3 linked regions of the Oryzias latipes genome follow. The protein of the gene in region 2 interacts with the protein of the main gene of each other region in a biochemical or structural test. Links are inferred from orthologs where the notes say so. Each region holds a gene or a part of one and is shown on either strand. Other genes may lie near its edges. The genes, in order: activator of 90 kDa heat shock protein ATPase homolog 1, heat shock protein HSP 90-alpha and usp19.

Evidence for each region.
Region 1: the proteins of heat shock protein HSP 90-alpha (region 2) and activator of 90 kDa heat shock protein ATPase homolog 1 form a complex in vitro, tested with the Homo sapiens proteins (4 studies listed by BioGRID). The link is inferred for Oryzias latipes from reciprocal best matches to the Homo sapiens genes HSP90AA1 and AHSA1.
Region 3: the proteins of heat shock protein HSP 90-alpha (region 2) and usp19 form a complex in vitro, tested with the Homo sapiens proteins (3 studies listed by BioGRID). The link is inferred for Oryzias latipes from reciprocal best matches to the Homo sapiens genes HSP90AA1 and USP19.

Annotation. Positions count from the first base shown.
Region 1 is NC_019880.2:21,589,111-21,593,502, forward strand, and holds the start of activator of 90 kDa heat shock protein ATPase homolog 1, read left to right. Parts: upstream 1-1,461; 5' UTR 1,462-1,743; coding exon 1,744-1,823; intron 1,824-2,446; coding exon 2,447-2,637; intron 2,638-2,791; coding exon 2,792-2,874; intron 2,875-2,958; coding exon 2,959-3,076; intron 3,077-3,302; coding exon 3,303-3,394; intron 3,395-3,473; coding exon 3,474-3,611; intron 3,612-3,685; coding exon 3,686-3,787; intron 3,788-3,871; coding exon 3,872-3,923; intron 3,924-4,392. UniProt on the Homo sapiens protein: Acts as a co-chaperone of HSP90AA1. Activates the ATPase activity of HSP90AA1 leading to increase in its chaperone activity.
Region 2 is NC_019882.2:17,298,695-17,300,961, reverse strand, and holds the end of heat shock protein HSP 90-alpha, read right to left. Parts: intron 2,216-2,267; coding exon 2,025-2,215; intron 1,947-2,024; coding exon 1,799-1,946; intron 1,717-1,798; coding exon 1,448-1,716; intron 1,369-1,447; coding exon 1,035-1,368; intron 947-1,034; coding exon 837-946; 3' UTR 590-836; downstream 1-589. UniProt on the Homo sapiens protein: Molecular chaperone that promotes the maturation, structural maintenance and proper regulation of specific target proteins involved for instance in cell cycle control and signal transduction.
Region 3 is NC_019865.2:4,259,639-4,263,292, forward strand, and holds part of usp19 (ubiquitin carboxyl-terminal hydrolase 19), read right to left. Parts: coding exon 3,592-3,654; intron 1,755-3,591; coding exon 1,287-1,754; intron 636-1,286; coding exon 302-635; intron 92-301; coding exon 1-91. UniProt on the Homo sapiens protein: Deubiquitinating enzyme that regulates the degradation of various proteins by removing ubiquitin moieties, thereby preventing their proteasomal degradation. Stabilizes RNF123, which promotes CDKN1B degradation and contributes to cell proliferation.

The sequences.
Region 1 (4,392 bases), on a different chromosome or scaffold from region 2:
CTAAAAAACAAGCAGTTTGTTTTGTTTATCAGTTACTTAGAATACATTTGTTTTTTTTACAATTGCCATAAATCTCCCAATTGTTTTCTTTATGACCGATGATGACGCTTCCCCTCCAAAACAATGGATTAATTTTAACTTTAAACAATAACAAAGTCAAAGAAATCTCATTCAAACACAGATTTTACCCTTCAAATCATTACCGATCTAAATTTAAAGTTGACTTAAACACCAGAAGGAACCGGAAACATGCTCTCATTTATTCTGGTCTGGATATTCACTCACAAATTATGGAAAAACATCCACAAATTCATCACAGACTCTATTTTTGCTTATTTTCAACTTTATTACAAAAACGTAATATTTGGTTTTCATAGTTTTGGACAGGAAGATGGTGATGCTTTCTATTTTAGAAACATGTTGTTATTCATGGCTAAATTATATCCTCAAGTCTTCGTACTGAAACTGGAACTGCAGCAATATTTAAAACTAATTTCTGCTTCAAAAAATAAAAAGGCTCAAAAAACGATTATCATCTGTAAATCTTTTGGATTAGTGACATGTTTATTACTCTTGCATTTCTATTTTTTTTCTTCTGTTATTAATTTTTTTTAGTTACTTATTTATTTCCTTCTGTGATTGCTTTATTTGGTTATTATTGAACACCGGTTTGTTTTAGAAATATATAATACTTATTTTGATTTGATTTGAAATGGTTTATTTCGAGCAATCAAATAAGAATACACAAAAACATTACAATCATCAGTTATACATTCATACAACAACGAATCAATCTTAGGATAATTAGACATATTAATAAATATTGCTTCAAAGGGAGTGGAAGGAGGCAAACTTATATAATTCCAGCCCTGTTCTACTGTAACCATTTTATTACATGATTTATAATTATTCGGTTCATAACTTTATCAGACAGAATTAAGAAGCATTAAGTGTCAATAAAGCACATGACAAAGATGAATTACTTAACTATTATGTAAAAAATAACTTTTAGAAATCAACATGGCAAATGCAGATCAGTTTTTCAAAATATATGCAGATTATCTTAATTATAAAAGTCATCGATATTTAAAAAAAAAATAACACTATTTCAGTAAAATAGACATAACACTGTTTCAGAAATTTTCTTAGCAAAATTTGATCACGTATCAAAAGTAAAAAATATGTGCAAAATTATGTTACATTAGGAAAAATCAAGTATCAATTTATCAATTTTTTGGAGCAAGTGAAGTAATATCATTAAAAGTCAATCAATGTAACCATTTTCAATAATTGATTAATCATTTGTGTTATTATTTTTTTTGTTTTTTTTTATTTACATAAAAAATATTTATAATTTTGTTCTTAATAGTTGAGATTTTCATACGGTCAAAACAATGTTATTCTGTATTCAGAACTCTGTTGTATTTCTTTATTGTATTGTTATAAATGTTGTTTTTTATTTATTATATCTGCAAATGTTTAATATATGTTTTTTTAATTCAACTTTTACCAAAATGTTCAAAAGTTTCTCTTGCGGAACCTCCTTTTATTGACGTCACTTCCGGCGCGAGGGAACTGTTTTCCTTCTTCTACAAAGTTCCGCTTCCAGCATTTTCTGCGCCCGGCGCATAAACGCGGCGGCACCACTGGAGGTTTCTAGAAGCAGCCGCGGCGTGTGGCGGATCCTCACCGGCAGAAGGAGCTGACATTCCCCAACGGTTAGGTTGCTGTAAACCCGGACAAATGGCGAAGTGGGGAGAAGGAGACCCTCGCTGGATCGTAGAGGAGAGAGCTGACGCCACGAATGTCAACAATTGGCACTGGTAAGGCAGGGCGGATGAAAAAGACCCCGCTGCCCGGCTGTAGCCGGCTAACACACTGCAGACCCCTCCGCCGTGAAAAGCCGGACTTTGACTCTTATTACCACGATCGATCAGCCATGTTTTTCATCAAACATCCTCCATTTTTCTGTCATGTATGTTTTAACAGGATGTTTATTCAAGCTGAAATGGGGTTTAGCATGATGATGTAGCAGCAGCGGACCCTCATGTCTCAGTTGCTACACCGCGTTAGCTAGCTGCTGCATGCTGATGAATGCTGCACGCTCTGTGATGACATCACTTCAGAATATGACAGAAAATTACTTTCTATATTTATATATTTAAGGTTTTTACGACTTTTTAGTGGAACCTTTTCATTAATAGTTCCATGGCAGGTTCAGATGCCCAATCAGGCCTTTAAACCCTCCAACCAATGAGCAACAACGCTAGTAGGAAAAGGCTGTTTTCTCATGTTTCTGAATCAGGCGTGTTGCACCTGCGCCTGATTCAGGCGCAGGTGCAACACGCCTGCCTGCTGCAGCCCTGATGCCAAAACCAAAAAAAAAACGGCACCGTTCGCTGCGTCTTGGCTGTTCCTTTCATCACCGTCTTCCCACGACTCGCAGGACGGAGCGAGACGCCACAAACTGGTCGACGGACAAGCTGAAGGCGCTGCTGCTCGGGCTGAGCGTGGAAAACGAGGAGGGGACGTGCGAGGTGACAGAAGTCAGCAAACTGGAAGGGGAAGCCTCCATCAACAACCGCAAAGGCAAACTCATCTTCTTCTACGAGTGGAACGTGAAGGCAGCTTGGACCGGTGAGTTCAAAGTTCAACAAGTTCCTTTGAGCAGAGTCGCTCGTTGGTTTTGTCTTCTCGTTTTCTTTTACAGCCCAGAATATTTCGGCTCATTTGATTAAAAAAAAAAACTAGGGAGGAGTTTATTTGACGTTTGTCTTCTTGTCCCCCGTAGGAAAGTCTAAAACAGGAGTCAAATACAAAGGAACCATCGAGGTTCCCAACCTGTCGGATGAGAACGACATGGAGGATCTGGCCGTAAGTCTCCGTCTGACCGGGAACTTTGTGCTTGGGGTTGATGGAGATGTTCTCTGAAGTCCGTCGTCTCTGGTTTGGGTCCAGATTTCTGTGATGATGAACAAAGACGAACCGGACACGCCGCTGCTGAGCCTGATGAAGACGAAAGGCGCCGAGAAAGTCCGCCAAGCGCTCGGAAGCTACGTAGACTTCTTAAAAACAGGTCAGGAGCTTCATAATCTCAGAGAGCTGTGTCTTTAAAAGACTGTTTTAAAAATACTTTAAAGTTTTATTTAAAGAATTCAAAGTTCCTATCTATGAAAAAATGCCTCTAAAATAACGTTTCAGAGCAGAGAGAAGTTGTTGCCCCTTTGGGTTAGCGGAGCCCGGTCTGACTTCAGCGTCACGCAGGTGTTGGCGCTTCGTTCTAAGGCGTTTCTGCATTTCAGAGTTCACACAGGGGATGATCCTGCCGACCGCCAACGGCGTGGCCAAGGTGCCGTCTGCTTCACAATCCAAAGCCAAGCTGGATAAAACCCAGGTTTGTTCTGCGCCGCCGCTTCAGAAGTGAGGCCTGCGTGGAGAACCGTCTTTGAAATGTCGCTCTGCTCGTGGCACAGATTTGCTCCGGCGGCAGCAGCAGCAGCGCAGCCGCTCCGGCCAACGCCGGCGTGAAGATCCCCACCTGTAAATTCAGCATCAGAGACACGTTTCTCACCTCGCCGGCGGATCTGTACAGAGTCTTCGTCAACCAGGAGGTGAGCCGCCGGCGCTCCGGAGCCGGTTCCCGCCGGGCTCGGACCGCCGTCTGACTGTCGCTGTTCTGCCGCAGATGGTTCGGGCCTTCACGCACAGCGCCGCGGCCGTGGAGGCGGAGAGGGGGGGCAGGTTTCGCCTGCTGGACGGCAACGTTTGTGGAGAGTTCACAGAGCTGGTGAGACCGCCGCTCGCCGTGAAAGCGTACGCCTGCTGCCTTCCTGCGTGGAAACGCTCAATGTAACGCTGCTTTCACCCTCAGGTTCCCGATGAGAAGATCGTCATGAAGTGGAGGTATAACACCTGGCCCTGCGGTGAGTGTCCCCACTGCACCAACGTCCACCAGCAGTGAGATGAGACCCGCAGAGTCTGTCCTATAGAACGGATAAACAGGGATTCAAACCGCTGACATTCATCTTTCAGTTGATGGACGCTCGCAGGGGAGCTGCGGGGTCCAGCAGGAGCGTTCTAGGAGAACATTCCTGCGCGCTCTCGTGATCTTAGCGTGTCAGTAGATCAAAGCTGACACGCTATGTGTTTTCCACGTATGACATGTGGGTCTTCCGTGATCCATGCGTGGTCTACGTCGTTCATCAGTGTGTCTTGTGTTCGTCATTCATCGATGTCCGTCGAGGGTTTTGATCGACGGGTCTTTACTTGAACACGGTTTGAGCTGTTCAACACTTTTGGTCGGTTGACAATTACACCAGTGTCGTTCCGGTGGACCATCGTCCATCGTGATGGCTGACTGTCATTACAACGGAGAGACACCATCGTGATGAC
Region 2 (2,267 bases):
AAAAAGTTTCAGGGGTGCCCAAATCCAGGCCTTGAGGGCCAGTGTCCTACATGTTTTGCAACCATTGAAGCTTCTTATTGGAGCTGATCCACCTGTTCCAGGTGAAGATCAGGCAGGATTTCTGGAAGACCAGCAGGAAACGCCTAAAACATGATTCGGTCCTTGTTTTCTTAAAAAAAACCTGATAGCTCTGTTTATAGATTTGCTGTTACCCTTATATCAAAAGGTTAGGACAAACAAAATTAGTGATAATTAGATGGCAATATTGTACTATTTATGTTGTGAGGACTTTGGACTTTTGCAGCATTTCAAGTGTTTCTCTTAACACTTCCAGTGTTTGCATGTCATGCAATTGTAATTACAATTAAAGATCCAATAAAAATAGGTTTGTTTGAAGTCTCATAACTTAGAAAACTGATAACCAGTCACTTCAAGTTTCTTATTTTTGTTAGATCTTTATCTAATTATTGGCAGCATTCATTCAACCTTCCAATTACTTCCTTTCCCAATTTCCCCTTCACAATAAAAGCATCAATACGTCTCCCTTCCAAAAATCTCTTGTATTTGAAAAGAACCCCAGAACAAAACGTTTTTGCTTTAGAGTTTTATTTCTGTGCTCTGGTATTCCAACCTCCAGTAATATTTACAAATTAGAGCAACATTAGAATGTCAATAAATACAAAAACAATTACATTGTTACATCTGAAGAATAAAGAGTTTCAGAACAGCTCTGAATGAGCAAATGCAAACACGTGAGGAATAAGGAAAGAAATGATGACAACTCGTTTTAACATTTGAACTGTACATGGAACTATCTCAACACTGCAGCCGACCGATCAGTCCACCTCCTCCATTCTGGACGCGTCGTCGTCGCCTTCCAGAGGCGGCATGTCCTCAGTGGGAGCAGAAGTGGTTTCTTCTACCGGTGTGTCGTCCTCATCAATGCCTGCAGTAAAAATGAAAAATATTAGTTAAAAATCTATCAGGATATAAAACACAAACTCAAATATTGAACTTTTTGATGGACTCCTTACCAAGACCCAGTTTGATCATCCTGTAGATGCGGTTAGCATGTGTTTGAGGGTCCTCCAGGGTGAATCCTGAAGACAGCAGGGCGGTCTCAAACAGCAGGATAACCAGATCCTTCACCGATTTGTCATTCTTGTCGGCCTCAGCCTTCTGCCTTAGAGTCTCCATGATGGGATGGTCGGGGTTGATCTCCAGGTGCTTCTTAGCAGCCATGTATCCCATAGTCGAGTTGTCGCGCAGCGCCTGGGCCTTCATGATCCTCTCCATGTTAGCCGTCCAGCCGTAGGTGCTGGTGACGATGCAGCATGGGGAGGAGACCAGGCGGTTGGACACTGTGACCTGTGGAAGGACTAAAGCATTAGGACTGCATCCTACCAGGAGACCCCCCCGCCATCCAAAGAAGCGTTCTTCTGCTTACCTTCTCAACCTTCTTTTCCAGGATGTCCTTCATGATCTTGCAAAGGTTCTCAAACTGAGCTTTCTTTTCTTCTTGCTTCTTCTTCTCCTCCTCATCCTCAGGCAGCTCCAGACCTTCCTTGGTGACTGAAACCAGGTTCTTGCCATCAAAGTCCTTCAGCTGCTGGACACAGTACTCGTCGATGGGCTCGATCATGTAGATGACCTCAAGACCGGCTTTGCGAAGGCGTTCCACAAAAGCAGAGTTGGCCACCTGGTCCTTGGTCTCGCCTGAACCGCAAAACATGACGTCAATCATCTGCTAACACTCAGGTGAAGAATCAGCTCAGATGCAGGTGGAGCAAGGCCTCACCAGTGATATAGTAGATGTGTTTCTGGTTGTCCTTCATGCGGGTGACATAGTCTTTGAGGGAAACCATCTCATCTCCAGAGGCTGAGGTGTAGTATCTTAGCAGCTCAGACAGCTTCTTCCTGTTCTGAGAGTCTTCGTGAATTCCAAGCTAAAGGGGGACATAGTATGTTAGTGGAAATGAACTGGAATACACCTTTCAGAAAGGTTTGTGGCGTCACAAAGCTACCTTGATGTTCTTGGAGAACTGTTCATATAACTTCTTGTAGTTGTCCTTGTCCTCAGACAGCTCTGTGAAGAGCTCCAGACATTTCTTAACCAGGTTCTTACGGATGACCTTCAGGATTTTGCTCTGCTGCAGCATCTCTCTGGAGATGTTCAGGGGCAGATCTTCAGAGTCCACCACACCCCTGATGAAATCTGACAAATGAAAAGTAGAATTCAGTTTAGTCATTTTGCTCCCCGCTCACCT
Region 3 (3,654 bases), on a different chromosome or scaffold from region 2:
CCTTTGATGTAAACATTAACCACCATCAGATCGGTGCCCTTCTCGTACGAGCCGTTCTTCACAGACTGCAGGTTGACCATCGGCTCTGGAGCTGCACAGACGAACACATCGGGAAACTCACATTTAGCGCTGAACGAAAACCAACAGATCAAAAGCTTCCTGAGCCCTGATTGTTAAGATCTCAGTTACTAAAAACCAGGTAAAAACATTTCTATCAACTGTTTTCTCAAAAACAGCTCAGAGGATGAACTTGGATGAATGATGCTCTACATTTTGCAGGAAACCAAAAATCCCGGCTAACCTTCCAGCGGACTGATTTCCAGAGGAGGCTCTTCCTTTGGCCGATCCCGTTTCTCTTCTCCATCACAGCTGTTCTGGATCAGACCGGCTGCGTGGCTCTGGACCGCCTCTGTCGAGACCAGCTGCTGCTGGATCACAGGACCCGGCTCTGGGCTAAGCTCGGCGGGTTTCGCCGCCACCTCGGAGTTCGTGCACTCCCTCTGCTTTCCAGAGGCGGAGTCTGCTTCTTTGTTGAAGCAGACGGGTTTGAGGCAGGGGCTGGTGCTCTCAGGAGCTCTGGGCTGTTCGTCTTTAACTTGTGCTTTTACTCCGGATCGGTTTAATGACTGGTTTCTCTTTTGGAAGAGAAAAAGAACAAGACCGAAGTGAAAGTTAACCAAAAGATTCTGCGTTGATCTCTAAAGACGACCGACTGATGTTTAAGGCGGTTTAGACGTTCAGCTTTTTAACGACCTGACTGGGATTTGAGCCTTTCCTGAATTAAGAAAGTGTAAACTTTCCCTGCTGTCTTAGTTGTCTTTTGTTCTGCCATTTGTTCATGTATCACAAATCATAACTTTATCGCAATATTGTGAATTGTCCTCCCAGCCCATGCTTTTTTTTTAAACATTTTTATGCATTTTTGGGGGTTAAATCTATACTTGTTTGATTGTGTTATAAAACATAAAACCAATTTGTTCTCAATGTTTGTGATTTTTGCAGTTAGAAAAAAGACTAAATTAATTACACCGAATTGTGTTTTTCATATAGTTTCAGATTTATTGTTAAGCTACTGTGTAATAGAATGAAAAATATCACTAAAAAAAAGTAGCAGGGGTTATCCTAAAAAGAATATCAATGACATAAAACTGCTTTAAAAGCCAATTGTTAAGTTATAAAAACACTAAAAAGGCCCCGGACTTCAAAGAGTTAATATTTAAGTTTAACGCCCAGGTTTTTTTAAACTCAAAGTACCATTTTTAAGACGGTTTTTGAGCAAGTCTCACCTGGGCTCTGTTTGCAGAAGAGACTTCAGGTCCGACTTCCTGACCGGTGAGTCGCTCCTCTGCTCTGCTGTTTGTGTCTTTGCCTGGAGTCTGGGGGCTCCGCCCGTTTGTGGCTTTACCGCCGTTCACTGCTGCAGACTTTGCAGCGAGTTTCTCCTTTTCTGCCCCTTTGGTGGTCTTGGGCAGCCGTATGATGGGCCGCTTGGTGCTGGGTTCCTGGGGATGCGGCTCGCCCGCTAATACAGCAGCGGCTGGCCTGGTGGTCGTTTCTGAAGCTCCACTTTTTACCCCAGCGAGGTCTGCGGGGGCCTTGTCACAGGCTTTGTTTTTCAAGCAACGCTTCATACCCCGCTCGGCTTTACTTCGCCTTGACTCGCCGTGTGAAGGTGATGAGGGAGGGTGAGGCTGGAGGGACGACGGTCGGACTTTTTCTGATGAAGCCGCAGCCTGCTTCACCTTCTTGTTTGACTAGAACAGAGAAGAAATAAGTAAAAGGTATCAATGCAGCAACACCAGCAGCAGGACACAACGGAAATAACAATTTTAATCAGCAAAAAGTAAAAAACCTGTAGAACATTAACCAAATATATTTTGAAATTTTCCATGAAATCTCGTCAAAAATGCATAAAAAAATACACAAACCCCTGCACAAACTTTGTATTTTAATATTTTTAACAAGACTTTTATGCAACAGAATGTCATTCAGTCTCACATATAGAGCAGCGCAGTCCTAGTTGATTCATGTAAACTTTAGGGACAGTTTAAAACAGCAGAGATAACAGTTTAACTAATGTCAACCAGGAAAGTTTGGAGACATTTAGACTCAACCATCAGTTCATCTTAGTGAAATCCTGAAGCTGCTTTCACCAAATGCCATCTGCGCTGCAGGAGCGTCCAGTTTCAATTCGGGCTGGGAATCACGATGCGATACACGATACATTGCTCACGATAACGATACTATCACGATATGGCGATAATGTGAATCGATATATATCGTCTCTAACAACTCACAATATATCAAACTTTAAGAAAGAAGAACTTAAAAATTTGCTTTTGGGAAAATATTTCCCCATTTATTTTTTCGTTTTTAAACACAATGATAATAAACAACTTGTGTCATATTTGGTGTAATGAATAACAGACTTTTGTGTAACATTGCTGAAATCAGTAATACTGTCTTTGCAAAACAATGACATTTTCATTTGGAAATATCTGTAAAATTCAGTTTAAACAATAGTGAACATGAACAGCAGCCATTATTTAGTACTAAATTGCTGTAAACAGGATAAAATAGAATAAGTCAAGTAGCTGCTAGGCACATTGGTGTTAACCTTGAAAAAACAAAGCCATAGTTTTCGCATTATTTAAAAAAAAAATAGCTGTAAATCAGATATTAATTCTGTGAACAAATTATAGTGTCTTTGTTAAAAATAAATGACACAATTTGTTGCAAATGTGGTGTAAACAAAAATAAAAATCTCCCAGAAAACAAAAATCAAGTAGCTAGGAACTTTCCTTTAAGTTATTTAAGACATAAACTGCTCTCAAAATAAATGACCAGGGATAAAATACATGAACTAAAAGTGCATCTAAAAGCAAACATCTTTGTGAGCAAAACGTTTGGGGAAAAGCTGCATGTGATTTATGTGTATATGTTCATGTTTTTCTTGAGAACCACAGGCTTTTTAGCGTCAAGACGCTGCTCGTCTGTCTTTTGAGGAGGGGGGGGGTCTAAGGGCAGGGATGCCACTCTTTCTGCTGTACCATAGCTCTGGTCAGGGCGTAAAGTGCAGGAATCATTTTGGGCTCGCAGTGCGAAGCTTCCGACACATAGTGCACACCGTAGCAAAGCATCCTCCCTTCCCCACAAAAACAAATCTATAAGTCTGGCTACTCTGCTCAGGGACAAGGTTCGCTCGGTCCACCGGCAGCCGAGCCCGGACCGTGCAGTGTCCGGACATCGGGGGGCACGAAGTGCTCCTCCTCGGCGCCCCCCAAGAAGGAGAGCCCTCTCCCTTCCCTCCTTCTCGAGAGGGTGGAAAGGGAGAGGCAAGGAGCCCGCAGGGCGAGGACGGAGCGCAGAGGCGCCCGTGCGTCGTACTTGGCGCTCCAAAAACTACACATTAGGTGCACCGCCTCATAGGTCGCCCCCTACAGTTTGGAGAAAGTTTTAGACTTGCAAGAGCGCCTTTTAAGTCGTGAAAATACGGCAATCAACGGAGGCGCACTGCAAACGGACCTTTAGAGTCATCCCGGTGCAGCTAGAGAGCGCTGAGCGTTTTAGGTAAGTAGGGAACGGGCTCACCTTCAGAGAAGGCCAGATGTGAAAGGGGATCTTCTTGTGCATGATGAGGTGCAGGAAACCCCC